Linked DNA regions of Caenorhabditis elegans. The protein of the gene in region 3 interacts with the protein of the main gene of each other region in a pairwise test. Each region holds a gene or a part of one and is shown on either strand. Other genes may lie near its edges. The genes, in order: lin-12, cpb-3, sel-10 and nhr-22.

Region 1 (7,539 bases), on a different chromosome or scaffold from region 3:
ATGCATTGAAATTTCGAAGGAGCCGTACTTGAATCAAAGTATCAAATGATAGAAGTTATTATGCTCAACTTAATTTGGAGTAACACCAGTGGGAAATGAGAAAATATCATTTTCTAGTGCTAAAGCTGTTGAACATTATAATTCAAGTAAATTTCGAAATCTTAACAAATCTTAAATCTTAAGATATTCATTTCCAGTCGAAAAGTGTAGATGACTCTGTTTTTCCATATCATGATTTCGGAAGTTGGCCAGAAGAATGAAAAATGGATTTTCCATCATTTTTTAAAATTTTAATTATATTTCAAAGGCTTATATTCAAGCATTGTAAGGGTTTCTGCGACATGGCTCAAAATGTCTCAGAAAGTCATTTTGAAAAATTTGTTCAATTACCAAAACTGACTGAAAATTTAGAAAAATCTAAAAATGTTCAAAGTTAGCATGCTTGAAATCGGATTGAATTTTCAGAAAAGAGAAAAAAAACTTTTAATAAAAATTATGAAATGATCAATAAACATCTGCAACCTCTACTTTCCTAACAATGACTCAAAATTGTAATCGAATTAGCAATAAACCATCGACAAAGGTCTTCGTGTATATAAATATTGCCAGATTGTCCAATATGACGATTCCACCTGTGCAACTGGAGATTGTATAAGTGTACCTGAATCAATCAATATTCAATATCTGCCATCTTGTGCCGAAATGTTGATTCTTTTCTATTTGTTTCATATTTTCGATTTCTTTTTCTTTTTCGTTTTGTTCCATTTGGCTTCTTTTCTACTACTACGTACGTTGATAACAACATTTTTTGGGGAGGCATGCGCCCACGCTAATAATCTCACAATTTCCCACTAAAAGGTTAGTTTTGAAAACATTTTCCCATTATTTTTAGATGCATGATCAATCAGTAAAAAATCAACTAAAACACAAAATAATCATGAATGGTTGAGATAGAAGGACACAGATGATGATGCACTTGTGCAAATAAAAGTAGGAGAACAAGGTAGCCCCATTCACAATATAACGGAAATTTGAATTTTCTTCAGCAACATTTTTTTCATTTTCATAAGATTTCCTATTATCTTTTTTGTGGTAATTTTAAGATTTGACTATTTTAAAACAAAATACCACCAAAGCTGATAATTAATAACGGCCTTCTAAAAAACCAGGTTTTTATAGAGCTATTGTTAATGCCATTTTTAAATGTTTTCTTAAATGTTACACTCATTTATTAACAATATTGTTATTTTTGAAACCTTTCCTTGGCGGGTTCCCATGCCAATAAATCAAGTCAAGAGGTCTTGAGACTAATCCGTCGACGACAGTTCAAAGTTGCCGGTTGATTGTCACGTCACATGTATATGACACCACAGTAACAGACACCTGTGCTCCTGTTGGCTCATCCATCATTTCCGTGTTTTGGGAAAATAGTAGTTAATTGGTAGCAACAACTATGCGTGAATTTTTGCAACAAATTTGGTTCAGATAGCAATTAATTGTCGAGAATAAGGTTATATTTAATTGTGTGAAACAGTTAAAAAAATAATCAAAAAATGATCAAATCTGTTTGAATTCCCGCCAAAAACAAACGCCCACTTTTGAACCAATTAGCGACTTCGGAATTTCCATACTTAATCTGATTGGTTGAAGAATGGGCAGAGCGAATTGCTGATTGGCCATGCAGTTCTCGTTTTGGAGGTAATTCAAATAGAGAGATTAGAAAACACCTTGGAAAAAGCGTGTTCAATATTTTGATTTGTTTTTTTTTCTAATTCTTACTCGATGTGTTTAGTATTTTCAAGCTCTTTCAGCTTTTGAACAGGAAAAGCTATGAAAAATCTCTTCCGCCTATAAAATGGCTAAAAATCATTTATACAATCTTACAGTTGTTCCTAAATGGATAAAACCAAGATATTACTTTTTGAACAAAGCTTAGAAATTTTTTGCAAGTATTGATGTATAAAACTAAAAACTATAAAGTATCCGAATAAACAGAAATAAACAGAAATAAACAGAAATAAAACTCTAAAACTGACACACAAAGACCCAAAAGCCGCAAATCACCATACGTTCCCAGCAGTTCGTTTTCCTCATCTTGATCATTCTTCCTTCCGTTCCCACTCTCTTCTCTTCCACCTCCTCCTACTTCTACTTCATCCAACCATCTGACATCGTCGTTTCATTTTAAAATCATCTTCTCCTCCTTTTCTTTCTCGATGAAAAAAAAGTCTACTTGGTGGCCGCACCGCGACCGCAACAAGTTGGGCGGAGCCATCTGTCTCTCTCTCTTTTGTGTTCATCCTACCCCCACCCCTTCGCCCTCTCTCGTCCTTTTTACTGGGTGAAGACATAACAATAGCCACCCATTTTTTGATTGGCATTTATTTATCCTTAATTAATGATAATGCAAAAGCTACCAGGTTTGGGTTTTATTAGGTTTCGTTTATTGGTAATAATATATTCCTACAGCTCTCACGAAATATTTAAAATGTTTCGAGCCAAGTATTATAGTTTTAAGAATTGATCCTGTTTCCTTCTATTTTGCCCTTGTTTGTTAGTTGACGATGACTGTATTCCTCTTTTAGTATTGCAACTCACTACTTTACTTTGAAAGGTAATATCTCCGCTCATTTTGATGATATCAAAAACTGATTTTCTGCACAATGGAAAAAATATTTTGTCAGCTGACAATTATTATTTAGAACAAATGACAACTGAGATATAAGCTGTCAACACTAAATAACAGGGGTGCAATATTAGTACGGTCCGATCCTTTGCATTTCTATACCGTTTTACTGTCGTCAACTTTCAAACAACGAATTCACTAAATTAAATAATTCAAAACCATTTTCAGAACCTACATGATCCATATCTAAAAGCTAATTTCCTGTCTCTGTCCGCCCTATTGCTCAACAGACTTTGCTCAATTTCAAAAAATGCGGATCCCTACGATTTGTTTTTTATTTCTTCTTATCTCGTTATCAAAATCGCTTCATATTGGCTCATGTCTTGGCTTAATATGTGGAAGAAATGGTCACTGCCATGCTGGACCTGTCAATGGAACTCAAACTTCTTATTGGTGCAGGTATGTGAAGATTTTGCTTAACAATACTTAAACATTTTTTCAAATTTTAATTCAACGTAAAATAAATAATACAAATCTACACATTTTGAAAACTAATCTTAAAAATACGCAATAAATTGGGGGTAAGGAATATTCCTAGGAATTATGGGATTTCCTTTACAAAATTGTCAACTGACCAAATTTTTGTTATTTCTCTTGCTACCGTTTTGTAGTTACCGTATTTCCTCTATTATTCTTTTATTCAAGACTATTAGAGGAAATACGGCAATTCTTTTTATATCTTTGAAATTAACCGAGTTATAACTTTACAAAGTTAAGTAGCTAGGTGCAATACTAGTAAAAGAAGTACTGTAAATTATAACAAAACATTGTTTGTACCAGTAGACTATTCTTCCATAATCCATGCCCTTTTCAAACAATAATTACGTAATCCGTCTTGATTTATAGCGGCATGTGCTCTCCGTTGAGCAGCTAGCTCCTGATAAGATAGGTGATATGGTTCAAGTAGAGACACGTGTCACTTGAACAACACACCATTAATTTATAGTTGATGTTAATTAATAGGAGGACATTGTTCGCACGGGTTCCCACCATTTACGAAACTTGCGCAACAAGAGAAATGAGCGAGTAATGAGAGAAAAAACCCCACAGAGGAGACACCTGCGTCGTCCCTCGCTGTAGAAAAAACTTTCAATTTTTTTGGGAAAAAGTGAGGGAAAATATTGTAAAAACAATACTTTCAGGGTGTTATGGGAAAGTTGGAAAAAGTCGGGTTTTGGATAAATCAACTTCAGAAAAGCAATTCTCAGCCATTTTTTTCCTGCCAATTCTCGTCTCAAAGTCGAAGAAAAACCAGGCAATTAACCCGCTGAGATTCTCATTAAAATGCGAAAGAGAAGCAGCTTTTCCCCCTCCTGGTCTCGCACCGCCGCCAAAAAATCACCCAAATCGGTAGTTTATTGCCATGGGAAAACCGAAAAATACGGGAAATTGAGGGGAGAATTCTTCTTAATGACAAAAAAATACTGGTCTTCCACATTTTTCTTATCAAACAAAAAAGAATGGGGTAGGATTTATGACCAAGTTCCCAAAAGAAATGACCAATGGGGGGTTACTGTAAGATTACTGTAGCTGGTTTTGAACTCCCTATCAGATGTATTATCTGTCAAAGTTTTTCCCGAAAATTTAAATAGAAGTATAGAAAAATGTTTGCACTTTCTGAAAATTGCTTTACTTTCAATTGGCAACTTCGGAAAACTGCAACGAATGCCACTTTTACTCGGCATTTTGAGACTTTGAATGAGAAAAAGAATAGTCTTCAAAATTGCTTATCTTATCACAAATGAGGACTCAGTTGCCACCTCACAATTTTACAGCCGTGTTCCCAGTTTTGTCGGCAAAACATACTGTCGAGTGAGCCTACCATCAGTTGTCATAAAACCATAAAACAATAGGATTACGGTGCCTTTCGGCTGCACGACGTCTTTAATCTTTAACCCTAACCCTTCCCAATGTTTCAGATGCGATGAAGGATTTGGTGGTGAATATTGTGAACAACAGTGTGATGTTTCAAAATGTGGAGCCGATGAGAAATGTGTTTTTGACAAAGATTATCGGATGGAGACCTGTGTCTGTAAAGGTAAGATAATGTAATTTCGAGCTGAATAACTTATACACAACACTTCCCATTGCATCTCATTTTCCTGCAAAACCAATGAGCCAGTAGTGGTCACTTTTTTGCCCAATTCCCATAGGGACCTAAACACCCATCACTCATTTTTTTTAGCCCTCCATGGTGGCGGTGTTGCGAATGAAATGTTTTTTTGGCCCAAAATTCCAAAACTAGGGTCAGCTGCGCGCGCCCTTTTGTCGGTCATCTTTTTGACCACACCATCCATCATAAGCACATGCCTGGTGGAATTGTGGCAAACAACTGACAAAGTTGGGGGTGAATAATAATTTGAAAGTGAATAGGTGGATTTGAAAATTCAATGGAAGTTAAGAAACTAGGAATTGTATCATTTTTAAGACTAAACGAAATATTCGAAGATTAAAAAATAAGAATTTACTTACTCATTGTTAAAGCTATCACAGGTATAATAGCAATAGGCCTATAGGCAACGCGTATACAGGTCTAAATGTCTGCTTCACGCTGACTTGCCGGCCTACCGTCTAATTTTTTAAATGTTAGCTTGAACTCTGTAGTTTGCTGTAGATTGATGTTGAAAATTCAACAAAAATTGAAGACATTAGAAGATTGGAAGTTTGTGGCTACATGTGTAATTTATGCGAAACAGACGTAGGCTGCCTTGTAGGTAGCCAGGCAGGCATTTCCTCATATTTCGAAAGCTTACGAAAACTATGCTTTAAACTTTATGCGCTTACCATTCCCAACTTTCAAAAATTTTACTAATCGTTTTCCGTTAAACCATTTATGAGTATTGCTCCAAACTTCATCAATCTGTAGTTAGTAGATATTTAACAAAGTTACGGCAACCAAACACCTCAATATTTCATCATGACTCGTTTGTATCGAGGACAAATTGAAGCGCGGCCAATCTTTTTCCATTTCTCTTCAGCTCATTTGTCTTGTTGGCGGCGTTAAAAGTGACCGCGTAAGGTGCCTGATAGATAGCTCCTAGGTCATCTGCCCCTCCTAGCCTCTCTGTTTCATGCGCGCTTCTCTATTGTCGATGCGCTTCTTTTTGGCGCGATTTATGTCTGATGTTCGGTATGTGTGAAGAGGGCGGTGAATTGGGCGACGACCCGATGGCGCCTCGTGTGTGTTGCCAATTCTTGGGAAAAAGTGGGATAAATGACCTAGAAATGATGAGCAGATGATGATAGTATATAGGATTTGATGTAGCAGAAGTCTGTCGGAGAAGAAGTGGCAGACGTGGGAAAGTATACATTTGGTTATTGTACGACTAGGCTAATAAGCAAATATACAAGTGGAATGGTTACAGGGATAGATCAATTTATATATTAAAAATAACTGTCTGCTTTTGAGTTCATATGGGTAATGTAGGAGTACTGTAGTTTCTGAAAAAGTGTTTTTGTTTTTTGAAAGGATATTGGAATGAGGTTAGTGGATACATGTTGTATGTGTACTGTAGTGGTAATGCAGGATACTGTAGGGAACTGTGATTATTGTAGTACAATTATTCATTCAGATAATTATTCCAGTTCAACACAAAAATATCCTAGACTTAACTTTTTCTAATATACAGAATAATTATGATAGTAAATTTCAGATTGCGACATTAACGGAAACAGTCTACTAAAACCAAGCTGTCCATCCGGTTACGGAGGTAAGTACTTCCATATTCTAATGCAACAATAACCCGAACAAACAAGTGTAACAAACCACTAATAGCGCCCTGTAATTATCGGTTCCGATTACGTCACAGTACACTTGAGCAAACTTAACGGATTATTGATGGGCATAGTTAGTTTAACAGAGACAGGATTACTGTAGCCGTATGACTTTCCCGTCAACACCGATCATCTTCGAAATGACTCTATAATTACTGGGGGTCGTCTTCTTGACGTCTTGATAATAGAAGGTCGTGGGAAACGAATTCTGAAATGAATTCAGATTCAAAACATTCTAGGTTACGGTATACTTTTATTGGGGCTTTTGACACGTTCCACAGTAGTTGCAAACCCGAAAGGAAACCCCACTGAGACTAGGTGCTCCACCTGTTGTCGGATTGATATAATCTAAAAGATCATGACTGTTGCGTGTTTCCTTTAGTAATAAGATTGACACCTAGTCTCATCTTAAAGATATGTCTTAATTGGCATGCAATAGGCAGTGGTATATATTTAAAAGTGTAATAAAAAATTTTAATTCAGAAAAGAAATTGTGACTACTTCACTTTGAAAGGTTATATCTCGGTACATCTTTGAATATCAATTAATAACCAAGTACTAACCTGTAGAAAAAATTAAAAATGTTTCATTAAAATGTTTCGTTGACATTTTTCAAATAGGACAAACGACAACTGAGATATAAGCAGTCAAAGTTAAAAGAAATACGGTATACGAACTTCCATGAAATACGAGATATCCTTGATGTTTCTGAATTTCAATTAAACCCAATTTTCTAACAAGTAACTATTTTGTTCGCGGTATTACCTTCACAAAGTAGTCTAAAGATTGTAATGAGTTTGTCATGGTGCGTCGGCAAACTTTTTGATGTGATGTATGTCAACTGCCGTGCCTCTTTTTGTGTTGCGAACGAATTTGATACTTGTGGGAAACCACAAAATATAGGGATTAACGAACTAAGGATTACTGTAGATTTACTGTAGAGCATTTCAGGAGACGACTGTAAGACACAAGGATGGTGTTACCCGTCTGTCTGTATGAATGGTGGACAGTGTATTGGAGCTGGAAATCGAGCAAAATGTGCATGTCCAGATGGATTTAAGGGGGAGAGATGCGAACTT
Region 2 (8,074 bases), on a different chromosome or scaffold from region 3:
GTCAAAATAGAGTTAAACGGCACGGAATAATGGATAAAAGCCCAACAAAGACAAGTATCCGGACCAAATTCGCTAGACACCAGCCAATTTCTGATGTAGATACTACAGAACAATGTAGGTTTTCTGAATATCACTACCAATTCCCAACATTTATTTTTCAGCGAGTTCATGCATTAAAAAAGATGATCGAGGTCTCAGCAGTTTTGGAGTTCAATCATCAGTATTTTCTCGTCGTAGCTGTAGGATGTCTGAACTCGAAGCGAAACCAACAATAATTTCCGAAGATCAACGTATAGCCGTGCGCAGCGAGATTGGGGGCTCTTTTTCTGGCTTCGATGACAAAGTTGATAATGTTTTCCACTCAAATAATAATTTGCATGGATCACCATCTACAACGGAATTGGAATGTCCTGGGATAATGAATCCGAGATTTCTCGTGGGCAGATCTCTAAATTCTAGATCACGAGCAGTAACTCGTGGAAGCAAGAGAACCTCGAATGTCAAAGAAAATGAAGGTAAGTTTGGCAGGAATTTACTATCTGGTAAAAGTGTGGTCTTTGTATGAAGAATTATTTGAAATTAAGTACCGAATACAGATAATAGACAATTTCTCAAACTTTTTTCAGGGAGCATCCACCGTTCTGATGATCAAGTATCAACTGAAAACTGTTCGGCAAAAGATGAGGAACGTGACAGAGATTCCGGTGGTGTTTCAAGCTATGGAAACAAAAGAAGCGATGAATTCTGCGGTACCTCTCCAATCCTTGAAGCAAAAGGTTTTGGAATCAGCAATACATGTTTCAATTGCAAGAAGTATGGACATCGTGCAACAGAATGCTCCGCCCCACAACGTGAATGTGCTAATTGTGGTGATCCGAATCATCGTGCAAATGAGTGCGCAAGCTGGTCGAAAAACGGAGTTCAAGAGCCGACAAAGGTCACCTATGTGCCAGTCGTGGACAAGATGGAGGAGGTATTTAGCATGTTGAAGATTAACGCTGGAGATTTCTTTGACAAGTTCTTTGACGCTAGCGTTCAACTTGTGTCACGTGGACAGCCGGTCACCATTCAACCATGTAAAAGTTTTTCCGATTCCGATATTCCTCAAAGTATGAGAAGAAACGTGGAGAGAGCAGGTTATACCCGAACAACTCCGATTCAACAATATACACTTCCACTTGTTGCTGATGGCAAAGATATCCTTGCTTGTGCTCAGACTGGATCGGGCAAAACTGCAGCATTTCTTTTGCCGATTATGTCTCGTCTAATTTTGGAAAAGGATTTGAATTATGGAGCAGAAGGAGGTTGCTATCCACGATGCATTATTCTTACACCAACTCGAGAGCTTGCTGATCAAATTTACAACGAGGGCAGAAAGTTTTCCTATCAATCTGTTATGGAAATCAAACCAGTCTATGGCGGAATAAATGTAGGATACAATAAGAGCCAGATTATGAAAGGATGTACTATCATTGTTGGAACAATTGGACGTGTTAAACATTTTTGTGAAGATGGCGCTATAAAACTCGATAAGTGTCGATACCTGGTCCTAGATGAAGCAGATCGAATGATTGATTCAATGGGATTCGGACCAGAAATTGAGCAAATTATCAACTATAAGAATATGCCCAAAAATGATAAACGACAAACAATGATGTTCAGTGCCACATTTCCCAGCAGCGTCCAAGAAGCTGCTCGTAAATTGTTGCGTGAAGACTACACAATGATTACAATCGATAAAATTGGAGCCGCCAACAAATGTGTCATTCAAGAGTTCGAGTTGTGCGATAGAACATCAAAAGTGGATAAGCTTTTGAAGCTTCTCGGTATCGATATTGACACCTACACCACCGAGAAAAGTTTGTTTTACTTTCACTTTTCAATATCGTCATATATGTTTTTAGATTCTGATGTCTTTGTGAAGAAAACGATTGTATTCGTTGCTCAACAAAAAATGGCAGACACTCTGGCCAGTATCATGTCGGCAGCCCAAGTTCCAGCGATTACAGTTCGTTTGTATATTAGTAGTGTATTTCCATTCTTCTTTTTTATAGATTCACGGTGCTCGCGAGCAAAAAGAACGGTCGGCTGCTTTGAAATTGTTCCGAAGTGGAGCTAAGCCAGTGCTCATCGCCACGGCTGTTGTTGAGCGTGGTCTTGACATTAAAGGTGTAGATCATGTTATTAACTACGACATGCCAAATAACATTGATGATTATATCCATCGAATTGGCCGGTTGGTTATTTCCTGAAATGTTTTATTTTTTGTAATTACCGTTTTTCAGAACTGGACGAGTCGGAAACTCGGGAAGAGCAACTAGCTTCATATCATTGGCAGACGATGTTCAAATTCTGCCGCAGTTGGTGCGAACTCTAGCTGACGCCGAACAAGTTGTGCCAAGCTGGATGAAGGAAGCTGCAGGAGGGACCTCCAATCCTAATAAATTCGAAAAATCTATTGATACCGAGGAACCGGAGGAAGCTTGGTGAAGCAATGTATTCTAAATTTAATTTCTGCAAAATATCAATCTTGACGTATTATTTTTCTGATAATGTTCAGCCCCCTTTTATTCCCCAAAATATCTGATCGTCTTGGCATTTCAACTTTAAATTTCCCGAATTTTTAAAATATATTTTTTGTTGTTAGGTTTATATGTTCATTTTTGTTTTCAATAGTTGGAATGTTTATAAATTCAGATCAGTATTCAATCAATGTCTCGTAAATCTGATAAATTTTTGTTTTAATTAAAGCTTTCAAAATCTTTTCAGATGGACTCACTATCAGTTTTTTTTAACTTCTCAGTTGTCTTGGCACGATGCCCACTCGATAATAACTGGTCATCTGTTTATTCGTGACTCATAAATTTGATAATAGTGAACGCTGAGAACGTGTTTTTTAATGAATTTTAATATTTAAATTCAATCAATTCAAATAATTAAATCTCATTCATCTTATAATATTAAAATCTTATGTATATAAAAATTAAATTAAGTCAATTTGAATTTTACGAAAGAATTACTGTAGCACATGTTCTGTGTAACATCGCGTCGTTCATCATGTTTTGTGTGCATACACTAAGCAAATTCAAATTTCAAAATGCTTTAATTTCGAAAATCCCAAAATTTTAAAATCAGTTTTTAGAAATGTTTTGTCAGTTTTTTATTCTGTCCGTGTTGTTTTAGGGAAAATTCTTTCTTCCAATTTGAGTTTGAAAATGTTTTCGTTAAAAACAAGTTTGAAGAACCTGTAGTTAATAACTTTCGCCTGAGCATAATTACTTTCGCTCTTGAACTCAAGGGAACATTTCTAATTTTCAGACTTGCTGCCGTTGATAAAAGCATTCACCATGAACCTGAATGACCGAGTGGAAGGCATCGGTAATGAAAGATCTATCGTTGCGAAATCAACCGAGAGAAAGAACAAAATTCCGCCCTCGTTAAAGCTCAGTCCTGTTGAGTCAGTTGGCGAGGTTTGTAAATTTGTTTTTCGAAATAGTTTAAAAGTTTTCATTTTTAGAAATCTCCAACTCCTGCAACAGTTTATGATTTGTTCAAGAAGTACCACAAATCGGACAGTGTAAAGCCGACCGAAGAAGACAACATGAATGTAGGATTTGACAAGCTTTCTACAGACGAGAAGAATGGATTTCTTCGAAAGCTTCAAATGCTCACTGTTGGAAGCAAAAAATCATCGAAAGTAGATGAATCCACTCCGTCGCCTGCTAATCGCCTACTCAAAAAGATTGTACCATCTCGCCGGACATCAACAGAGCATCCGAATTCGTCGAATCGAATGCATATTTTTGGATCTTCAAGAACTACAAAGAAGTCTATCGACTCGGAAAGAAATTCACAGCGTAAGAAATCTGCTCGGCGACTAAATTTCGAGAGAGACGCAGAGCAAAAGAAGGATTCAACAAAAACAAATAATAGTTCATTCGTTGCTGAAATGACTAGAGAATATGAGAAGATAGTTATCTCGAAGGGTGCTCCCGTTCCAATCAATAAGGCAAATCGGAATCTCTACCGTAATCCTCGTGGTTCCCTTGAGACTCCTACAGATTCTCCGCAAAAAGGCTTCAGCAGTTCAACCGAATCGTCTCCTTCTGACAGTATGAATCAGTTTCCATCTCGAGAGCACTTCACATCTGCAAATGAGGAATCTCCGATGAAAAGAAAAAACTTCCAACAAGAACATGGAAATAAAAACCGTGATAGCGACGCAACTTGGTTTGGAGAGCTTCCGCCCAGAGATTATACAAGTCCAACATTCTCACGGAAGATATTTGTTGGAGGAGTTCCATGGGATATCACTGAGGCAGCTTTAAAAGATTCATTTGGAGAATTTGGTTCGTGTGCAGTTGAATGGCCTGGACAAGAAGCACGTTATCGCAGTGGACAATCAAATTTGGCTCCGTCAAATGGGAGTTTGAGAGCTCAAACGAAGGTACGAACTTTTTGAACGGTTAAAAATAACACTGAAATTTTCAGTATACTGGACAAGCTGCTACTGGGTACGTCTACATGATATTTGAAGATGAACGCGCTGTTGCTTCTCTACTTCACGAATGTTCTCAAGAGATTGGAGGAGCCGGAGAATGGTACTTTAAGATTCGAGCTCAAAGATCGAAATCGACCGAGATACGGCAGGTAGGTCAACCACAATATGTGATGTTTCTTTTTTGCGTATATTCTACTATGATTTCAATTTTCAATCATTTCAGGTACAAATCATTCCATGGGTTACCTCGGACTCTATGTTTTGTGAGGATGATACACTTCTCGAAACAGGAATAGAGCCAAAACGAACTGTCTTTGTTGGAGCTTTACATGGGATGATGACAGCTCAAGTACTTCATTCAATAATGGAGGACTGTTTTGGAGCCGTTGAATGTGTGCAACTTGATACGGATAAGTTCAAATATCCGATTGGAAGTGGACGTGTCACATTTCGTGAACATGGCGCGTATTTCAAAGCCATCGAGATGGGATATCTGCACGTCTATACCAGCAAATTCCGTAAACGTGTCCAGATAGATCCATTCCTCGAAAGTACATGCTGTATGGTATGTAATTCGCAGTCAGCACACTGTTTCTGTCGGAATAAGAATTGCTTCAAGTACTACTGTCACAACTGTTGGGCATTGGATCACGGAAAAGATGATGATCAAGAAGTCCATATTCCAGTGATTGTACCATCGTCGGCTTCGAAAGCGTTTCCAGGAGCAACTACTCGTCGTTCGCAAGTTTCAAGCAGCTTGTCGTTGAAAAATGGATCTAACAATTCTCAAGTCAATAATTCGATTCCTCATTTTCCTTCGGCAGGTACAGATAACTAATTTTTATTTTTCGAAAATTTGGAAAATATCTATTTCTTAAACTCAGTTTTTATAATTTTCAGGTTTCCCTATCATCGTCGGCGCACCTGCACAAACATTGTCAGCTCTCTATGGATATATTCAAAATGGTCAACAACTGTTGAAACCAGCCGTTTTTGAGCCACCAATGACACCATCACCAAGTGAGATCAACAAGAATAGAAGAAGCTTCACAGAGTTTTCGACTCCGCCAACAGTCTTCTTCAATTCAACTCCTGTCATATCTCCACAAAAGAGTGAGTGGAATATTTCAATACTTTATAAGCGGAGCATATTATTTTACTCAATTGTTACATTTTCTCAAATTTCAGGTGTGTCCGACGGTTCTCCATTGCCAGCATACTACAACTCGGCTGCATTCCTAACTCCACCACCAACATACTACGGTTCTCCAAACCACCCGACATCTAGCAACATTTCGCAACCTCAGCAACCATACTATGGCGCTAACCTTTATTATGGCTTTATTCCCCCTCAGCAACATCCTTCTGCAATGATGCGCTCTCCCAATTACGGCCAGTAAGCGCTTGCCTGTTTCCATCAAAAATTGCCATGTTCTCATTACTATTCGAATATTTTATATAAGTTCCGTCGCTCGTAGTTCTGTAGAAATAATCAACGTAGTTTATGTTTGCTGAAAACTATGAATGAGAAAACTCCCTGTGAATCATATTGCATCTGTAACATCTTTTTTTGTTTTCCCCTGTAGCGTTTAGTTTGGGCCTTCTTAATTGTTTGTTTTTTTAATCAATTTTGTTATTTTGTTGTGTTTCTAATCATCCATCTCCCAACTCTTATCCGAATCTGATGCCATTTTTCCTTGTCATTCGCAATCAATTCGTATGCCATTTTCTTGGTCCCATCTGTAGATTTAAACTCTCCGCATTGCGTTTTACCTCCCTCTCGTTTAATGTATACAAGAAGAATCGAAGGTAACGTTTTATCTTTTTTATCACTTATAAAATTATTCATCTTAAGTACTCTTTCACATCCTCCCCAATTGCATATTTTCTCGCAGATTGCGCATTAATTTTTTTTTCGAATAAAATTTTTTCGATAGTACGACTTGTTGTCTAGTTGAATTCAAACCTGAAACTTTATTAGATATGATGATAATCTATTCCGATTTAGATCAAAACTTGTATTATTATACAAAAAAGGTTGAAAACCGTTAAATGAACCCGTTGAACGTGTTTTAAAACGAGAATATTGAGAAAAGTGACTGAAGAGGTAGGAAACAATTGAGATTTGGAAATTGAGAGAAATTTGGTGTGTTGTGGTAAAATAATGAATATTTTTAAGATTAAAAAGGCCTCCAAATAGTCGGAGAAGAACTATTCGATGAAGTTATTGATACATTTCTTCGTCTTTTTGATTCTACAGATTCCGGAGTTTCTTGAATTAAATTAATTGAAGTTTCTGATGATTTTGTGATTGAACGAGGAGAAGATGGTCGTTTTAACTTCCGATCATCAGAAGTTGGAGTTATAAAAATTGATGGAGATGATAGGCATGTAGACGTATTAAGGGATACTGCAATTAATAAATTATATATATATATTTATTTCCGAAAAAATAATCTAACCATTTTCCTGTTCAACTTTTTGTTTAATCGGAGTTTTCATCGATTCGCTGTGAATTTTCCAAAGTGCAGCTGAGATAGAAGGATGTGGTCCTGGAGAGATAAGCGGAAAAAATGATGGGCTGAAAAATATAAAAATTATTTTATGAATAATGTGAAATTCGAAAAACTTACGGGAAAGTTTGAGTCATTGGTAAAGGAAACCATGGTGGTGGAATCATTGTCATTGGCATCTGAAAATTAAATTTTTAAAAATTGTTTGCAATTTTTTCATGAATGTTCTTCTACAGTTTTTTGCAGAATTTTTCAAATTAAAAACATTTCAAAAATGAATGAATTTTTTATATTGGGGACGCAGAAAAATGTGAATTTTGAAATTGGGGGTGTGAGCGCGCTCCAACGCCAAAAGTCTCCGCCCCCAAACGCTGGGTCTCGTTAGGTATTATCGGATGAATTTTATATCGAAACTGATGCCATAAAATTCATAATCAAATAAAAACCCTTATTCACTTTTCTGTACTTTTCAAAACATTATTTCACAGTAAAAATCATTAGAGTCAATTGAGAGTAGAAACAATTTAATTCTCGAAATCAGGTGAAATCAGCAAAAGTTATTGAAAACGTTTGAATTTCTGATATTCCCGCCAATACCTAACGAGACCCAACATGAGGGGGCGGAGCGTTTTCATTTGCCTCGATTTCAGAAAAAGGAGACTACTGTACTTCTTAAAGTCACATCCTTTTTTTCTCAGGCTTTATTCAACAAATTCTGGTAATTTCGAGACCCTATACTTAAGTAATTAATACAAAATTTTGTTTGTACAAAAATCAAAAAATCGTACCGGTGGTCCAGGCGTTCGGATAATATCATTTGGGAATATTGTCTGCTGTTCTGCCTGCCGTTTCAAAGATCCTTGTGGTTTTGGTATTCTCGCATCCCTTGGTCCATCAACCGTAACCTATAATTAAATTAATAAGTTTTATCGTATTAAACTGACATCATTTCTTCCCATTCCAACATATTTGGCTTCCTTTTTTAAAAAATAAATTTGAATAAATAAACCAAAACTCAATGCAACATAAGAAGTTGCAATTGATAAGAATATTTACCGAT
Region 3 (8,661 bases):
ACGCAAATTTTGTGAGATTTTGATATTGTTCCACGTTTTTTTGAGGAATGTGGAACTCTGGATCTTTGTGAGAGCATACTCTGAAAAAGTTTTTGACTACTTTAAAGAATTAGAGAGACTATTGTACCTTTCAGACATCCACGTATCATTTAAAGATCGATTTTGGTTCTGAAACTCTGTTTCATTGTGTAGTAAGCACATTATATTGATTAAAAGTTGGGACATCGATTTTCGAATTCCACATGATAAAATCTTATATTTAGGAGCAATCTGAAACAAGACTGATCTTCTAGGACAGCACTTTCTAAAACGTACAAATAGATCCGATCTAATATTTACATATGGTTGGATGAAGTCAAGGTGATTATCTGACATTAGAAGAAGTATGCTTCTAGTGCAAGTTTCAACAGTTACCTCTAAGTTGGCGAATTTCAGATGCCATTCCGTAATAGTATAAGATAACTATGAAGTTGATGGCAAATGCTTGAAATATGATTCTGTTTTTTGAACTGAAACAGTTTAAGCATTAAAGGAAGCATTGAAATCAATACAAAATTAAAATTGAAAAACAAAAAACTAAACCATTGAGGTCTGAAACATTCTTAGTTTAAAAAGTGAGTATTTTGCAATAAAACACATGCTTTGGCTTCTAAATTCACAGATTTGAAACGTTACAGAACTTATTTCAGCAATCGAATTAAAAGAAAATTTCCCATAAAATGCTGTAATCATTTTTTCCCTGAAACCTACAGTAGTATCGAGTCCTAATCAACTTACCGATCCGCAGACTGTTTTCTAACAATTTTCAGATTTGTCAGTAGAAATAAATGCCCATTCTTGGTCATGATCATTTGGTAACCATAAAAGATCGTCGTTGTCTTTTGATTCTCGTTTGCCAAATAGAGCAAGACACGGTTGTTTGATGCCAAAACGGAGGGAGTAGACACAAAAATGGGACAGAATAGAGTGTGGAGTGATTTTTAAAATGTAAACATTTCCAGGATATGAGCCACAAAAAGGGATATAGACCGGCAGCAAACATTACTGTACATGATGTATGAAAAAAAGAATGCCGACCAATCAAAATCACATTGAACGATGGTTGTGTCTGGATCTCAATGATCTCGGATGAAAATGGGAGTAATTAAATTGTGCCTAAAAGTAGTTTCAAAGTTGCATCCATTTTTGATGCTTCCACTTCAACTTTTGAACACACGTAGATTACCAGAATTTCAAATCGGATCAGAAAGTAAATACCGTAGTTCTTTTGTTGTAGGGGTGGGCGGTAATCAAGGAATTTTCTAAAAAATGTTCAATTTCGGCAATTTCTGAACATGCCGTTTTTCGATAAACCAACAAACAGATCATCATATTGTAATCAAAAAGTTTGTAAGTTGGCCATTTATATTTGAAAATAAATAAAGCTCTACAAAAATAATACATTTGTTTTTCTGAAATACCCATTTTTAATAATTTGTGGGCAACATATAATAGTCTTAACAACAGACTGAACACTTTTTAATTTTAAATCAGGTATACCCACTATTTCATTTTCTAGACACCATACCGAAAACCCTAAATTTTGGCAACACGTATGATGTTGGTATTTGATTTTATCCTTAAATTTACAATTAGAGCTCATTTTTATTCTGTTTTTGTTTCTATAGTTTTGCAGTTCAAATTTTAATTATAATGTGAAAATCTTCCAAGAAAACATTTTTTCAGCTTTCCAAAATCGTTCTACAGAAATTTCCGAATTGGTCAGGTCTCTTTCAACTAATCGAATTTTTTGACATACTGGAGCTGGACTAGTATCAAAATTGCCAAATTATTTTAATTTAATTATTTTCATGTTTCGTCGTCCTTTTTTTATCGAAATGATATAGGTAGAAAGGCGTGAAAATAAAAATATATTTCACGAATTTATTGTCTGATACCAACGTCATTCTTGAATAGATTTGGATTTTATTTCAGTTTTTATTTCACTAAATAAACATATCAAAAGTGTTGGAAATTGTGGCTCCTCCTGAAGTCGAACAATCGGAATTTCCGTTTTCAGAGAATGTAGGCTATTTCAAATAATCGTATTTTTCGGTTTTGTGCAATTTCTAGCATATTGAATATATATCTTGCAAATGTGATGTGTTGCTGACAAATATGAATTTTAACTTTCGCTGATAAATATCAGTACAATTTATGAATTGAATCCTCTCAATCACATCTCAATTCTTTCATATTCGTCCCCCCGCAATACAAAGCCAATAAAGTGTGAAAAACAAAGAAATGGAGCAAATAGTGAGCTATGACTCAACTAACGTATTTCAGATGGGAATTGCAGTTTAGTCATGAATGTGTTATCATATCAGAAATAGTTCTTGACATTTGTGAAGAAATATTATACAGAAATTCCAAAGCGATTGTTTCCAATTGTGGCAGGTGTTCGTGTCTCTTTTTCTGTCAGTTTATGGTATTCATTTCCATAAAATTACCCCCTCGGTAGCCACAGATGGTCATAATTCTTTTGAATTCAGTTATGGAAATACCACATTACGTTCAGAATGTTACAGATTTTAAATCATTTTTCTTTTGTGGTTGTAAATTGAATCACTTGTTTTAAAAAACCATATTACCTATATGTATTATTTTATTCAAAAACTGAATTAATATACTCAGTTTAAAATTTCAAAACAAGAGTTTTCGTGGGATGCAGTTCGTTTTTTAAATTCCTTATTATCCTGAAATTTATAAGGATGGTTTACTTGTGCAATACGAAACAACCTTTCCGTAAAAATGATTTTGAAACAAGGTTGAACACATTTTTCTGCACCATCATGAAGGACGAGAACCCAGCTGTCATATGCAACAGCAGTGACCATCGAACACCTGCTTCTTCTGTGAAACTGATTATGTGACCGACAAGTCGGACATTTTATATTTTATTTTACACGAGAATATTTGTTGAAGTTATCTTATCAACTTTATACACTTTATATGCATAGAAAATGTTTCATCGTGTGAACATCAAGTGAACAAACGTGCGCGTCGGAAAATGCGTCAAGCGGTTATTGGCGCACTACTGGATGCCTTGACGCATATCGCGTGCAAAAAGCTTTCATCTTCTCTTCTCATTTTCTCACGAAAATCATAGTTTTATCGACTTTCCTTTTGTGTTCAAATTCTTCATTCCCAGTAGTTTTTGTCCTTTATTCATTTCCAATTCTTTTTCAGCCATATGTGGCCACGAAATGATGTACACATGGATGATGGATCGATGACACCGGAGGACCAGGAGCCTGTTACCGATAATGATATGGAATATAATGTATGTTAACATTTACAACCCTTTTCAGAATATAATTTAATTCTAATTGAAATGTTTGTCTTCAGGACAATGGAGAAGAAAGCTCGTACAGCAATGGCTCTTCTTCCAGCTACAATGCTGACAAATTATCGTCGTAAGCCTTTTTGTAGTGAATATTTATAGCAAAACGTACCAGTTCCAGACCTTTGCAACACAAACTTGATTTATCGGCTTCTCCCTCTCGAAACAACGACCTCAATCCGCGTGTCGAACATTTGATCGCATTATTCAAGGTAAACATATTGATTGATTGTCGCGATCAATCTTTCAGCGTTGCGGCTAATACACATGCAATAAATTAATATTTGAATGCGACAATAATTAGTAACATGACAAAACAATGCATTCAAGCTCCGGTGAGGGTGACCTGTGTATTATTGATTTTTCCAAACCTTGAAGAGAGCACCTCAGCCAGGCATATTCGCTCTATTTTTGCTGAAAAAAAGTGTAATTTGAATTCATTTTAGGATCTATCAAGCGCGGAACAAATGGATGCATTCACACGTCTGCTTCAGGAATCCAACATGACAAATATTCGACAGCTGCGTGCCATTATTGAACCCCATTTCCAGCGTGATTTCCTCTCCTGCCTCCCTGTCGAGGTATTTGTGTTGAAACGGAAAGAAAAATTATAAATATAACTTTTTCAGCTCGGAATGAAAATCCTTCACAATTTAACCGGATATGACCTGCTCAAAGTGGCACAGGTGTCGAAAAATTGGAAATTGATATCTGAAATTGACAAAATTTGGAAGAGTCTTGGTGTCGAAGAGTTTAAACATCATCCAGATCCCACGTAATACTTTTGAACGGGAATTATTTGAGATTAGTATTATCTTTTCAGAGACCGAGTTACTGGTGCGTGGCAAGGAACTGCAATTGCTGCTGGAGTCACTATTCCTGATCACATTCAGCCATGTGATCTTAATGTTCATCGATTTCTAAAGTTGCAGAAGTTTGGAGAGTACGTTTATTGGAAATATTATTTTTAAAGACGTTCCGATCACATTCGATTTATTTTCAGTATCTTCGAACGCGCTGCTGACAAGTCACGTTATCTTCGAGCCGATAAAATTGAAAAGAACTGGAATGCGAATCCAATTATGGGGTCAGCAGTGCTACGAGGACACGAAGATCATGTAATCACTTGTATGCAAATTCATGATGATGTCTTGGTGACTGGATCTGACGATAACACTCTTAAAGTATGGTGTATTGACAAAGGAGAGGTTATGTACACACTAGTCGGCCACACTGGAGGAGTTTGGACATCACAGATTTCTCAATGCGGAAGATATATTGTTAGCGGGTCCACTGATAGAACTGTAAAAGTTTGGAGTACTGTAGATGGTTCACTTCTTCATACACTTCAAGGACATACTTCCACTGTTCGATGCATGGCTATGGCTGGTTCCATGTAAGGCTATTCACTATGATAACTGCTTGGAAAAAGAAATTTAATACTGAAAATTTCGGGTTTCGTACAGTTGAATTCCCTAATTTGCGAGCTATATCAAATCTTGATGGAAAGTTTTTGATTTGTAGATCATTTATATCTTAAGAAAATTATTCTATCTAATTTCACAAAAAAAGTTTATGGTAATTTTTTTAAAACTTTTGTTTCAAAATAGAAAAACACGAACGTGTATTTGGTTGTTTAAGACTTTTTTAATACATTTTCTATCTTAAAAATGAGAAGAAAACGAAAAATCTCGCTGAATAACCACACTTTCAACCCATACATTTTAATTTTAATACTTTCAGACTTGTCACTGGATCACGAGATACCACTCTTCGTGTATGGGACGTAGAATCCGGACGTCACCTGGCAACTTTACATGGCCATCATGCAGCCGTTCGATGCGTTCAATTCGATGGAACAACTGTTGTTTCGGGAGGATATGATTTTACCGTTAAAATTTGGAATGCTCATACTGGGAGATGTATCCGTACTCTGACCGGTCATAACAATAGAGTTTATTCTCTTCTCGTACGTTTTTCTTATAACAAAATCCGAAAAATAATGTTTTTGTTTTCAGTTTGAAAGCGAGCGATCGATCGTGTGCTCTGGCTCTCTGGACACTTCAATTCGCGTGTGGGATTTTACACGACCGGAAGGCCAAGAATGTGTGGCTCTTTTGCAAGGACACACCTCACTTACATCCGGAATGCAACTTCGAGGCAATATTCTCGTGTCATGCAATGCAGATAGCCATGTTAGAGTAAGTATAGAGATGTAAGATTGAGAAACTTGTCATAGTTAAACATTTGTACGAGAGTCTGAATCGCTCTCCTGTTAAACAATTAGAGACCAATTCCAATTAATAAAATTGGTCCTGATGTTTCACTGCGTTTTCTGTCTCTCTGCGGCTGTTTCTACAAAAGCCAATATTCGATGGCAAACAAAGGTGTACGGATCTGAAATGATTTTCAAAAGTATGGAAAAGCACAAAAGCGTAGTAGATAAAGTAACCCTCACATTGTGAGAACATTGAAAAATTGTATTATTTTTTTAAATCATTTTTTCAGGTATGGGATATTCACGAGGGAACTTGTGTACACATGCTTTCTGGACATCGATCCGCTATCACTTCACTTCAATGGTTTGGACGAAATATGGTAGCAACGAGTAGTGACGATGGAACTGTCAAATTGTGGGATATTGAGAGAGGTTAGATCACATAAATTACAGATAGTTTTACCCATAAAAAAATTTTCCAGGTGCACTGATTCGAGATCTAGTAACTTTGGATTCTGGAGGCAATGGTGGCTGTATTTGGAGACTTTGTTCTACTTCTACGATGCTAGCGTGTGCAGTCGGATCTCGTAACAACACCGAGGAGACCAAAGTTATCCTTCTCGACTTTGATGCTGTATACCCTTAACGAATTCTCGAATCTCTGCCCCTGTACATAGAATGTTCTTGCTTAGGAACTAATATTGTACACGATGCCCTCATTTTTAAATCAACAATGCTATCATATCATGGAATATAGTCAAAAGCCAACAGTATTGAAACGTCAAATTTGAGGAAAAACGAATTTATGTGTCTATTCAACTCGTTATATCCCGGCCCGCCACTATAATTTTTCTTTTTTTTACTATTTTTTGTCAGATTCTGTCTCACACTCTTCTCTTTCTCTTTTCGATTGTTTCCCATTAAGTTATCGGGTTTGATTGATTTTATATTTTTATTCAAATGATGGGCTCACTACTCCCAGATTTTGATTTCCTTTATACAATAGTTCAGTCAGTATGTTAGTCCTTATGTGACTTCTTTTTGATCTAATGAGCTTTTTAGTCCCTGTCGGTTCCCTCTTTTTTCGCTTTCATTTTTCGTAAAAACTACTTGTCAAAATTCAAAGTTCTACCCTCGACATTGCCTTTTTTAAAATTTTTGTCTTCGTTTTATCGACTTATGCCAGACGTCATTCGATTAAGTAGGTTAATAACAATTATTTCATAATAATAAATATCGATTCGTGTCATCCGTCTATATGTGATTTTCTTTTAATATCTCTATTGGAGATTTCTCCAAATTATCCTGTAATTTTTCAGTGAGTGAATATCAGCTTTATGAAGTTTGTGTCTAAATTTTTGACCCCAACTACAATAATTAGTTTAACAACCAGAAGTCTATCAACAGCAAAAACTCCAACATACATCATGAATCAAATTGAGCCAACTACAATGAAAATTGATAATGAAGATTTTCGGCAAGTTCCGGATATTTGAAGAATCGTTTTAAGTTTAATTCTATATTTTTCAGAACTCTCTTCACACCTCAACTTTTGAAACTCCGTGATTTATTCGCCAAACGAAATTATGAGCTTCGAATTGCCGGTGGAGCTGTTCGAGATCTACTTATGAACATTCGACCGGCTGACGTTGACTTTGCCAGTACTGCAACACCGACTCAAATGAAGGTTTTAATTGTTTTCCAAATCTCAAAAAAAATATATTTTATTCAGGAAATGTTCGAAGAGGATAAAATTAGAATGCTTCATAAAAGAGGCGAAGAGCACGGAACAATCACGTGTCGCATTGACGATTGTGAAAACTTTGAGGTATTTAGTTTTTAGTTTAATAAATTTAATCTATATACATTTTCCCAGATCACAACGCTTCGTGTAGACATTGTGTGTGATGGAAGAAGGGCTCAAGTTGAATACACAACTGACTGGCAACTTGATGCAAATAGAAGAGATCTTACTATCAATTCACTGTTTTTGGGTTAGTATAGAAATTGGAAATTGAAAGCACTCCGCCCCCGAACCATGGGTCTCGTTAGGAATTGTCAGCAAAACCGTAAATTGAAACTTTCAATTAGTTTCGGCACTTCCGCCAAATTTCAAACATTTTCTGTTTTTTCCTGTTTTTAAAAATAATTTTTATACGGAATTGGATTTAAAATTTATAGTAATATGAAAACCCATTATTCACCTTTCAAATCCGCATAAATTTTTTCAAATCATCATTAGGAAATGAAAAATAATCAAAAACAACAGAAAATCGCCGAAATTAATTGAAAACGTGTGCATTCACGGGCTTTCCGCTAAATACCTAACGAGACCCATAGTTTGTGGGCGGAGTTTTTCAATTGGCAATGGAGCGCGTTCCCATAATATTATATTCTTTGCTCATGAAATATTGGAATTTCTTTTACAGATCTTCATGGAAACGTTGTCGACTATTTCGGTGGAATCAGAGACATTGAAACTCGGCGCATCGCTTTTGTTGGAGACGCTCGTCAGAGAATCCAGGAGGACTATTTACGAATTCTTAGGTTTTTACAATTATCATACATTTTCCTGTTATCAAAATCTCTATATTTCAGATATTTCCGTTTCTTTGGACGAATCAGTGACTGTACGGAACACGAGCACGACACAATTCAGGCGATTGTAGAGAACAAGGATGGTATGGCGGGAATAAGTGCCGAGAGAATTTGGACAGAACTCAAAAAGATTGTGGTTGGAAGAATGGCTGATGAGGTGTTAAAAGCGATGATTGAACAATGTGAATTACAAAAATATCTGGGACTTCCGAAGGAATGCAATCTAGAGAGATTTCATACAGTTTTTAATAGGTTTTCAAAAACTGTCGAGCCAATGACAATGATTGCATGCCTGTGTGAGGATGAACATCAAATCGCCGAATTTCATCGTATTACGAAGCTCTCGAACGATGAACGTCTCCTCGGTGAATTCATTCTTAGTGAACGACAATCTGCTGTTGAGAATTTAAAAAACGATGACTGGTGGATTGATAGAATTGTTGATTTGGAAGTACGTCCTGGT
Region 4 (8,372 bases), on a different chromosome or scaffold from region 3:
GGCGTGCGCCTTTAAAGAGTACTGCGGAATTTTAATTTCTAAATCTTTCGATAAAACTACACTTAAATAAAAACTTTGAAAAAATGTAAAAAAATATGGCAGCAACAAGCGTTTAAAGTTACAGTACTCTTAAAAGATGAATATGTATTTAATAAAAAATTATCGTTTCGAGATACCGTAATTTTGAATGAAAATCGAAAACTTGGGAAATTAAATCCGCTTCCAGAGTACAATGCCCCAATTCTGCTCTCAAAAATGTTTTTTTTTCAGTTCGGCTCAAATAATGTCTCTGGCATGGAATCCGTCAGGCCGAGGTCTTCTAGCTTGTGATCGTCAGAAGACTTGTACACTCTGGAGATGATCTTCAATGTATGAAATTGAATATAATTGTACAGAATCATCATCTGTGTTATAAATGTGCATATCCATTTTTAAAAAAATAGTTTTACCCGCGTTTTTCATGTTTTCTTTCAGATTTTTCATTATGAACATTCGTTTGAAATAGAAAAAAATTGTATGATATTTATACATTTTAATTTAAACCGGTAATCCTCAAAAAATGCCTGAATATTACAAATTCTGTGTTATCACCACCTATCCCTTGTATTCTATGAACATAAAATGCACATTTTCTTATCATTTCACCTGGTTGGCTGACTGACAGTCGTTTGGAAACATTCGAGTTTTCTTAAATTTTCTATAGTTTCTGATGCTAACCTATGAAAATCAGTTCAAAATGATGACAAGAATACAGGAAATTAATAATTTCTGTTCCCGCAGCATGATGATATTTTTTGCCGATGAATAGTCCTAATTCTTCGTCATTGAAAAAAATTTGCTCCTTTCGATCTGAATTTGAAAAAAGTTTATTAAAAAAAGTATATTTCAAATATTAATGATTTCTGATTATTCTGCATTGCCAGGAAAATATTTTCATATAAACTTGTGAAAAGATGTCAATTTCTGAAAACAATTCGGCCAGTTTTCTGAAGCAGTATTTTACATATCTTCCAGGGTTCAAAAGATTAGTACTCTCAATGAGTCGCAGACAGCTTAGTTGTTTTTTCTTTCGTATTAATATACTTACATTTTCTTTTATCTCTAATTCTCTTACATCCACCTTTTCCGCAATCTCTGCCACTGTCGGCGATCTCTTGTTCTCGCACGTTTCTCTCTAATTCTATAACGAACGTAAATCTTTATTCTCTCTATTATTTTTATATATATTTGTGTGAAATATTCAAAACTTGAGTATTTAAATTTTTTGAAAAACCATAAGTTCAATGTGATAATTTGAAATTTTCCCATCACGTTTTCGATTAGACAGAATGAAGTTTCCGTTCCAGTGACTATAAATAGGCGAAATTTAATTGAAAATAGTTTTGCATTATTTTCAAACCACAGACTTTTTATTCATACATATATTTGAAAATATTAATTCAGTGAATTGCAAATTTAAAACTCACATTTCTTTAAAATTAATGAATCAATTTTCTATCTCTTGCCGTAACAAATAAATAAATCCATATATTAATATCTTCTCCCCTTTGTCCAGCCAATTTCTCATCTCCTCCAATTAGCCTCTTCCCACCTTTCTCTCTTCTTCATTTTCCCCCAATTCTGTTCTTATCAGTACTAACCTTGTTCGGTCCTTTCTCTCTCTAACCTCTCTCTTCTCTTTTTCTTACTCTCTACCATTGCCGCACACCTCCATTCATTTTCACTTTAATCAAATATGTCTACGGACCTTCTCTATGAATATTTCTATCCACCTACCGATTTATTCAAAAATACTTTTGAAGACGTACCACCATCTCCTGAGTCTCTGGACGTTGGTGATTCGTTAGGATCATCTCCATCTTACGATCTTGGATTCCAACCATCATTCGATATTGACTTCTGCATTTGGAAAGAGGGATCTTCATCACCTCCACCGGAATCGAATCATCTCCCAGAGATTGTAAATAAAGCTTCAACATCTCCACGTGGAATGCCATCTCCATTAACTGACAGTCGAAGTTGTCATGTCTGTTCATCTCCCACTGCCAATACTCTACATTTTGGAGGTCGTTCTTGTAAGGTAAGCAATATGATCAAGAAAAAAATATTTCTCGTATCAATTATTAATTAGCACTACTCCGAAAAAATGAACATTTTTTGTTTTTACAAGTGTTGTACTTTCGTTGTTGTTGTACAATATACATTTTTTGTTTTCTGGATAACAATTGAATTTGCATCGGACATTATTACCCAGGCCCACGGTATCCTGCCTCAGCGCAACATATTTTTGTTAAATTCGAAACGTTGTGCGTCTTTGAAGAGTACTGTAATTTCAAACTTTTATCATATTTTTTATCATTCAAACTCGTAAAATCAACATTTCTAGACTTGAATTTTTGTTCTAAAAACACCGATAAACCGTTGGTTTCATTAGTGATAATTGTGAAAAAAGGTCCTAAAGTATTTTAAGGCGTAATAATATAACTATGCTTTGAAAATGTGCCAAAATTTGTAACATGCTCGCCACGTGTTTTTATTGTTATCCTGTGTTATCTAGAAGTGTATTGTAGTCAGGTATTTTCTTTTTCCGTCTGCGTATTTCGACGAAACATCACTTATTTTTGTGGCCATTTGTGGTATGTGTCTCACACTATTTGTTTTTGTAGTCTTAAGTGTAGCTAGAATGACAATAGAAGATCTTCATCTGATCGGATGTTTGAACACACCACAGTACAGTTCCTGTTTAGAAACTAGCTCCTTTTGACCAAGTTTTGTATGATAATCTTACTGAAAACCACGAACAAATAGAAAAAGTTGTTGATAACGTACATCACACTTTGCATGCTTTATGTTTAAATAAAGAGAAAATGAAAAGTACAATTTGCATCACTAATACCTCCGGAAACATGTTTCTCACAATTTAATTGGAATAAATTTAATAAATGAGCATATTTTCAGGCATGTGCAGCATTTTTCCGAAGAAGTGTTTCAATGTCAATGACTTACGAATGCATTGGCACTGGAGATGACACAAATCCGTGTAGAACCCATTACGAGCTCAGAATGATATGCCGTCACTGTCGGTTCATCAAATGTTTAGATGCCGGAATGCGCAGAGAACGTGAGTGATCATTGACAAGGTCATTTGTCACATGTTCAATTGGCCAAAAAGTCCGAGGTACAAAAAACAGTAATTTGTTGTTTTGCAGTGGTGCAAGCGAGAAAAGAAGAGACGAGAGTTGCAAAACGACGTTCCAAGGGATTGGTTGTATCGAAAAAGGAAGATGACGATGTTGAATCTTCGTATGATGAGTATGTAAATACATATACAAATGTTCAAGGTTAGTTTCTAATTTATTTCGAAAATATTTTTGAAGCCCTCGACTGGGAAATTTTTTAAACCCTCTCCTATGGTAATAAAATTCCTAAGTATAACAGTTTAACGTTTCAAAAAATTTTTTAAATTTTTTAGTTACCGTCAAAAGTGGGCAAAACTCAGTTTTCATCTATCACAGTTTTTGGAAGTTGACCAAAAAAAATATTTATCTACAAGTCCTTTTTTTTACAGCGTTTTAATTGTTTTAATTGGAAAAATTCCAGGGTTCCAACTTGTAACAATTTCTACAATTTTTTGAAAATTTGGCAATTCACCAAAACTGAGGTTTTTTAAACTCTTAATCTTTTTGGAAAGTTTTTATGAGATTCGGTTATGTTAGAGTATTATAAGTGTATCTATCCCGACTGACGATACTTTAATAATACCATTTGTTGTTTCAGATTCGAGCCCGAAAATGGAATCAGGGATTAATGAAATGACGATTCCTGAGTCATACCTTTCACCGGATCCTTCATCTTCTCAACCACTTGATATGACAGTAACACCTCCACCACTGCACCGTTCAACTCCATCCATACTTCTTACTCCAGCAACTGGTGACCGTATGCACTGTCAACGTGTGCTTTCCAATTCTCCTCCATTCGATATACACCAGGCAAGCACCAGCCATGCAGGATTTATTCAACATGTACAGTTCTACCCAGTCGTTGAAGTTGAAAATAAAATTTTCGAATTAGTTGATCATTATGTAAGAACAGAAGCTTCATTGAATGATCGAAGGAAAATAATGTACACGGATACTCAGATAAGAGATGTTTTCGATACAACTTGTGAATGTGTGAGTTTTCAATGCACCATATCCATTTCTCACAATATTCTCTTTCAGCCCTACGAAAATCATCAGCTGAAACCTTTCAACTATAAATCATTTTGCGGATTTGTAAAGCACGACTTTGTTATGATTCTTGATTACGTGAATCAATTTCCGGAGTTTCAAGCTTTACACAAAAATGACAAAAATGTGGTCTATCGAATGGCTTGCGCCGTAGATTCAATGCTTGCATCTGCCTATTATAGCTATAAGTGAGTATTTAATGTTCAAAAATTAGATTCAGTCAGTTTTTCTACAGAGTTGGAATAGAAAAAGAACGTCTAATACTTTTCAATGGTGACTATATCAATATGAATCCGATTCCAATAAGTGGAGATGAGCCAGGCGCGGGAACAGAGTTTCAAACCCCGCAAGAACATGAAAAGTACAAGTGAGTTTGCTAAACTTTTTTAAATCTCAGTAAATTGTTATCTTGCAGAACCCTAATGCCACTGAAGCTAAAACAATATTTCGATCTGGCAATTCCGTTCGCTCGACTAGAAGTCTCATTTGAAGAATACGTACTTCTGAAAGCTCTCATAATTTGGCAAATCAGTAAGTAAATAATATCTACAGTAAAGTTTTAAAATTCTCGTTTCAGGTAACTATCGGTTACTAGAGGAGGGACGAGCAATTTGTGCACGGCAACGAGACACAATAGTTCAAGCCTTGCATAAAGTAGTTGAAGAACGAGGTGATGAGGATCCAGCTATTCGAGTTGGTCAGCTTCTTCTGAGCATGAGCTATATAACGGTTGGTTCCATCATCAATTTGTTATGAAAAATTAAATGAGTTTCAGGAGCAAGTACAAGCAATGACAAACTCTTACCTTGTAATGACTTTCTTTGATGTTGTATCCTGTGATAGTATAATGTACGACTTACTATCTTTCAGGTAACAAAATTCTAATAATTTCAAAGTTTAAATGTTATCAAATTATTTCAGAGACGACTGAAACAACCATCGTGAAGGTTCTACTTCATTCATCTGACTTTTAACGACTATTAACTTACATAGCTTTATCGCGTAGCTTTTGTATTTAAAATTGTGACATTTTGTTTATATTCTGTGATTTTCTTTTTTTGCCATATTCGTTCAAACTCTCAATTCAGATCTTTCAAAACATGTGTAAAATTGAACTCATTTCAGTTGTATTGATATACATTTAATAATTAAAAAATTTATTCAACACTTGACACATGACTAGGGCTATAAGAAGTCACCGAATCATCCACATAAACCGGAAGAACGAAATATTGCCAATGCGATTGTGGAACCAAATATGGTTTGCTCCAAAGACGTTGCAAGTCACCCGTTGGTGGAGTCGAGTCAAGAGGAAACCTGAAATAGAATGGATTAGAGATTATTGAGAACTATGAATTCACCATTCAATAAGAATATTGTGATTCAACGTTGGAGATTCAGCTCTAGTACATTGCTCGACTTCTATCTGAAATTTCGACTGTTTTTGGTAGCTCTAGATGTAGTTTTCACCGAAATTTCTTTGCCGGGAGGAATCAAAAACTTCGATGGATACAACTTGTAGAAGCCAGTGGTTGACAACAGAGCTCTACAAAAAATGAACTGTATTTAAAATAACCAGAATAATTTTCGCTGCAGACCTCAACGCCAACCAATCATTGTTCCTATTGTTCTTCACATTCAATATAGACAATCCAAGCCGTGGGACATGGAATGGCTGAAAATAAAATAATGTTGCAATATATTTCACTTTAATCATTCTCACTCTCGGATGGATATATGTCATTTCATTAAACTCGCTCTCGATTCTCGTCTCACCAGATTGAGTACTCAGAATAGTTGGAGCCACCTGGCTTGGGGTCTCCTCGCTGATTCGTGGAATTGGATCAATATTAGGCTTCAATTTACTGAGCAGGTATGTTTGGATGACAAGCAACATATGATAAACCAAAATGAAGAAGTGTGACAGCTGAATCAGAAGTTTCGTTCAATGTTGGAATAAGGCTATCGGAATACCATAAACTGCCAAATTGCTCCATTTAGTCTACAATAGCCAGGTTCATGATCTTTGTGCCAGAGACAAACTGTAGAAAGAAAGCATTCATAAACAAATATTGGGACTGTAATCAGCTTGAAAATAGCAAGGAAGAGTGCACCAAACTTGTTGATATACTTTCGATCTTTCTGAAAATTAAAAGATATGGAATGGACTAGAATTAAAAAACTTACAACATAAATGAATAAAGAAAAATCGAAAATGAAGAATATCAAGGGAAATGAGAAATATAAAGATGGACCGATTCCAGCATCGAAAATCTAAATTAATTTGGTTGGCCTGTGATTACTGGCGTTTTACCTGATACAAGAAGTGCCGTGGTGTTGTGAAAACTCCTTTTGGATGTTTCATGCAAACTTTTCGAAATGGAAAGTATATGGTTACCAATGATAGAAGGAGGAATAGTGACTGAATAAATGTTTTCTGGAATAAACTATACATTAAATCCCAACCTTTGCCCATAAAATAGTCGTCATTCTACTCTCCTCTGGTATCACAATATTATATTTCGGTAAATATTTCACTGATTTCATATAGAATGTGACTAGCAGAAGAACCACACACGAGAGCCCAACATGACCAAAGACTAGCCACCAAACTTGGGACATTGTCCATAATTGTGTCAACTCGGCCATTTTTCGCTTCTCCGGAGCACATATTTTGGGTGAACTTGATGAAGTACAGCAACAATGGGTATCTCTTGCTGGAAATGGAATGTTGAAAATAATATAATTTATTTCAAATTTACCATCACCCAGGCAAACTGATGACTCGTCAGTTTTGTTAAGCAAAACAGCACAAGAAAGTGTTGAAAGTTTTGAAGGTTTTTGAGAACAATCAAATCTTTCAATATCTCCTTCTGATGTGGCATGGAAATGAGAAAAGCATATGTCAGACGTGCACTGGTTATTTCCATTTTGATTGTTAATGCACTGGTTCGAAGATCCCGAGGATAAGGATCTGAAATTTTTACTATTTCTGAGATATCCACGCAGGACGTGAAATGGTTGCATCTGACTTCCAGTCGGTCTACCCGCGTGCCTACTGCTAAAGTACATGTAAAAACAAACTTTCAGCAATAAAAACTTTAGTGAGACGTTTGTAAATCTACACCGCGCAAAATTCAAAATGACATCAGCCACGAGAGAGACAGAGGCAGGCAGGTATGAGATTTGCCTGTGCTCCTGGAAACAGATAAGAAATTTATAAACTCACAAACTACATAAAACAAAGACGATAACTTTTAGCATGCTGGGAAACTCAAAAATGATCTTTCTTTTTTGTTTTACGTGGTTTTTGTTTTATTTTTGAAATATGAACACGTAGAGCTTATATGAACTATCACGGTAAAATTACAAATAATAAGATTCTATTTATATATTAAAAAAAAACAATTCGACATTCATTTTTCAACTTTAAACGCTGAAATTGGCACGGAGATAACATATCATTCAGAAATCACAAATCAAAAACAAAAAGATGGAATAGTTGTTATAATTAATAGGAAAATTATTCGAAAACAACCCATTTTGGCAGGAAAATATGTAAGGCTGATGAAATGAGAACAGAATAAAGCATTTGAAGAAGGGATTTTGGGGAAACATTTACACGCAACGGAAAGGTCTTCTGAGGATTATGGAAATTGAAAGAAGTCTAGAAATGAAAGATCTTATAGAAAGTTATGGAAGAACTTGAAACCGTGGGTTCTTTTTTGCTGTATAGCAAAGTGCTCCAAATGTGATTGAGACTGCAAAGAGAATGACTCCGAGAAGAAGCCATAAAACTGCATATGGTAAGCAGACTGCTTTCATTGGGACTTCTTCTTGTGATGATGATTGTTGTTCTTGTGGTGATGGTAAATCAGCAGCTAAAAACTTTGATGTATCTTCATGTTTCTAATAAATTTCGAGTATGAAAACTGTTCTGGAAACTCTCTGTGGCTATAAGGAACGTGTTACCTATCTTGAAAGCGACCTACTCGTATTTCGATCAACAAATCACGATCCTTACATTACACTGGACGCAGGCTACCTTTCACAAAAGACGCAGCATGCCTTGTGGACATTTTTGAACTAACTAGATCATTCTAGCTATAACGCATAAAATATATACAAGTACCAAAGTCT

What was found.
Region 1: the proteins of sel-10 (region 3) and lin-12 interact in binary tests that used the Caenorhabditis elegans proteins (3 or more experiments, as listed by UniProt).
Region 2: the proteins of sel-10 (region 3) and cpb-3 interact in a two-hybrid assay, tested with the Caenorhabditis elegans proteins (one study listed by BioGRID).
Region 4: the proteins of sel-10 (region 3) and nhr-22 interact in a two-hybrid assay, tested with the Caenorhabditis elegans proteins (3 studies listed by BioGRID).

What each region holds. Positions count from the first base shown.
Region 1 is NC_003281.10:9,066,786-9,074,324, reverse strand, and holds the start of lin-12 (lin-12/Notch intracellular domain), read left to right. Parts: upstream 1-2,852; 5' UTR 2,853-2,936; coding exon 2,937-3,085; intron 3,086-4,605; coding exon 4,606-4,724; intron 4,725-6,339; coding exon 6,340-6,396; intron 6,397-7,411; coding exon 7,412-7,539. UniProt on the Caenorhabditis elegans protein: Essential signaling protein which has a major role in many developmental processes; involved in cell fate decisions that require cell-cell interactions. Probable membrane-bound receptor for putative ligands lag-2, apx-1, dsl-1 and osm-11.
Region 2 is NC_003279.8:5,786,997-5,795,070, reverse strand, and holds cpb-3 (Cytoplasmic polyadenylation element-binding protein 3), read left to right. Parts: upstream 1-3,318; 5' UTR 3,319-3,347; coding exon 3,348-3,470; intron 3,471-3,517; coding exon 3,518-4,447; intron 4,448-4,491; coding exon 4,492-4,650; intron 4,651-4,724; coding exon 4,725-5,325; intron 5,326-5,401; coding exon 5,402-5,614; intron 5,615-5,689; coding exon 5,690-5,901; 3' UTR 5,902-6,437; downstream 6,438-8,074. Other genes in the region: ATP-dependent RNA helicase glh-3, read left to right, coding at 30-114, 162-515, 627-1,859, 1,905-2,008, 2,055-2,236, 2,286-2,490; Runt-related transcription factor rnt-1, read right to left, coding at 6,682-6,911, 6,964-7,082, 7,135-7,193, 7,803-7,919. UniProt on the Caenorhabditis elegans protein: Cytoplasmic polyadenylation element binding protein that binds to and regulates the translation of specific mRNAs. May not be required for oogenesis.
Region 3 is NC_003283.11:13,816,133-13,824,793, forward strand, and holds sel-10 (F-box/WD repeat-containing protein sel-10), read left to right. Parts: upstream 1-3,228; 5' UTR 3,229-3,232; coding exon 3,233-3,322; intron 3,323-3,387; coding exon 3,388-3,455; intron 3,456-3,497; coding exon 3,498-3,594; exon of another isoform or gene 3,595-3,717; intron 3,718-3,828; coding exon 3,829-3,963; intron 3,964-4,011; coding exon 4,012-4,157; intron 4,158-4,205; coding exon 4,206-4,325; intron 4,326-4,385; coding exon 4,386-4,778; intron 4,779-5,125; coding exon 5,126-5,351; intron 5,352-5,400; coding exon 5,401-5,583; intron 5,584-5,890; coding exon 5,891-6,032; intron 6,033-6,082; coding exon 6,083-6,246; 3' UTR 6,247-6,848; downstream 6,849-8,661. Other genes in the region: F55B12.2 (Carbohydrate sulfotransferase), read right to left, coding at 1-80, 128-270, 316-368, 415-509, 778-845; hpo-31 (CCA tRNA nucleotidyltransferase 1, mitochondrial), read left to right, coding at 7,028-7,077, 7,131-7,287, 7,333-7,428, 7,477-7,594, 8,030-8,147, 8,199-8,661. UniProt on the Caenorhabditis elegans protein: Probable substrate recognition component of SCF (SKP1-CUL-F-box protein) E3 ubiquitin-protein ligase complex, which mediates the ubiquitination and subsequent proteasomal degradation of target proteins.
Region 4 is NC_003280.10:6,443,152-6,451,523, reverse strand, and holds nhr-22 (Nuclear hormone receptor family member nhr-22), read left to right. Parts: upstream 1-1,731; 5' UTR 1,732-1,735; coding exon 1,736-2,080; intron 2,081-2,958; coding exon 2,959-3,121; intron 3,122-3,209; coding exon 3,210-3,341; intron 3,342-3,777; coding exon 3,778-4,175; intron 4,176-4,223; coding exon 4,224-4,420; intron 4,421-4,467; coding exon 4,468-4,599; intron 4,600-4,647; coding exon 4,648-4,763; intron 4,764-4,809; coding exon 4,810-4,961; intron 4,962-5,007; coding exon 5,008-5,102; intron 5,103-5,153; coding exon 5,154-5,163; 3' UTR 5,164-5,329; downstream 5,330-8,372. Other genes in the region: atg-16.2 (Autophagic-related protein 16.2), read left to right, coding at 271-361; K06A1.2 (uncharacterized protein), read right to left, coding at 5,390-5,549, 5,594-5,658, 5,703-5,778, 5,831-5,907, 5,956-6,159, 6,207-6,374, 6,420-6,506, 6,547-6,654 and 3 more; cutl-16 (ZP domain-containing protein), read right to left, coding at 7,926-8,113. UniProt on the Caenorhabditis elegans protein: Orphan nuclear receptor.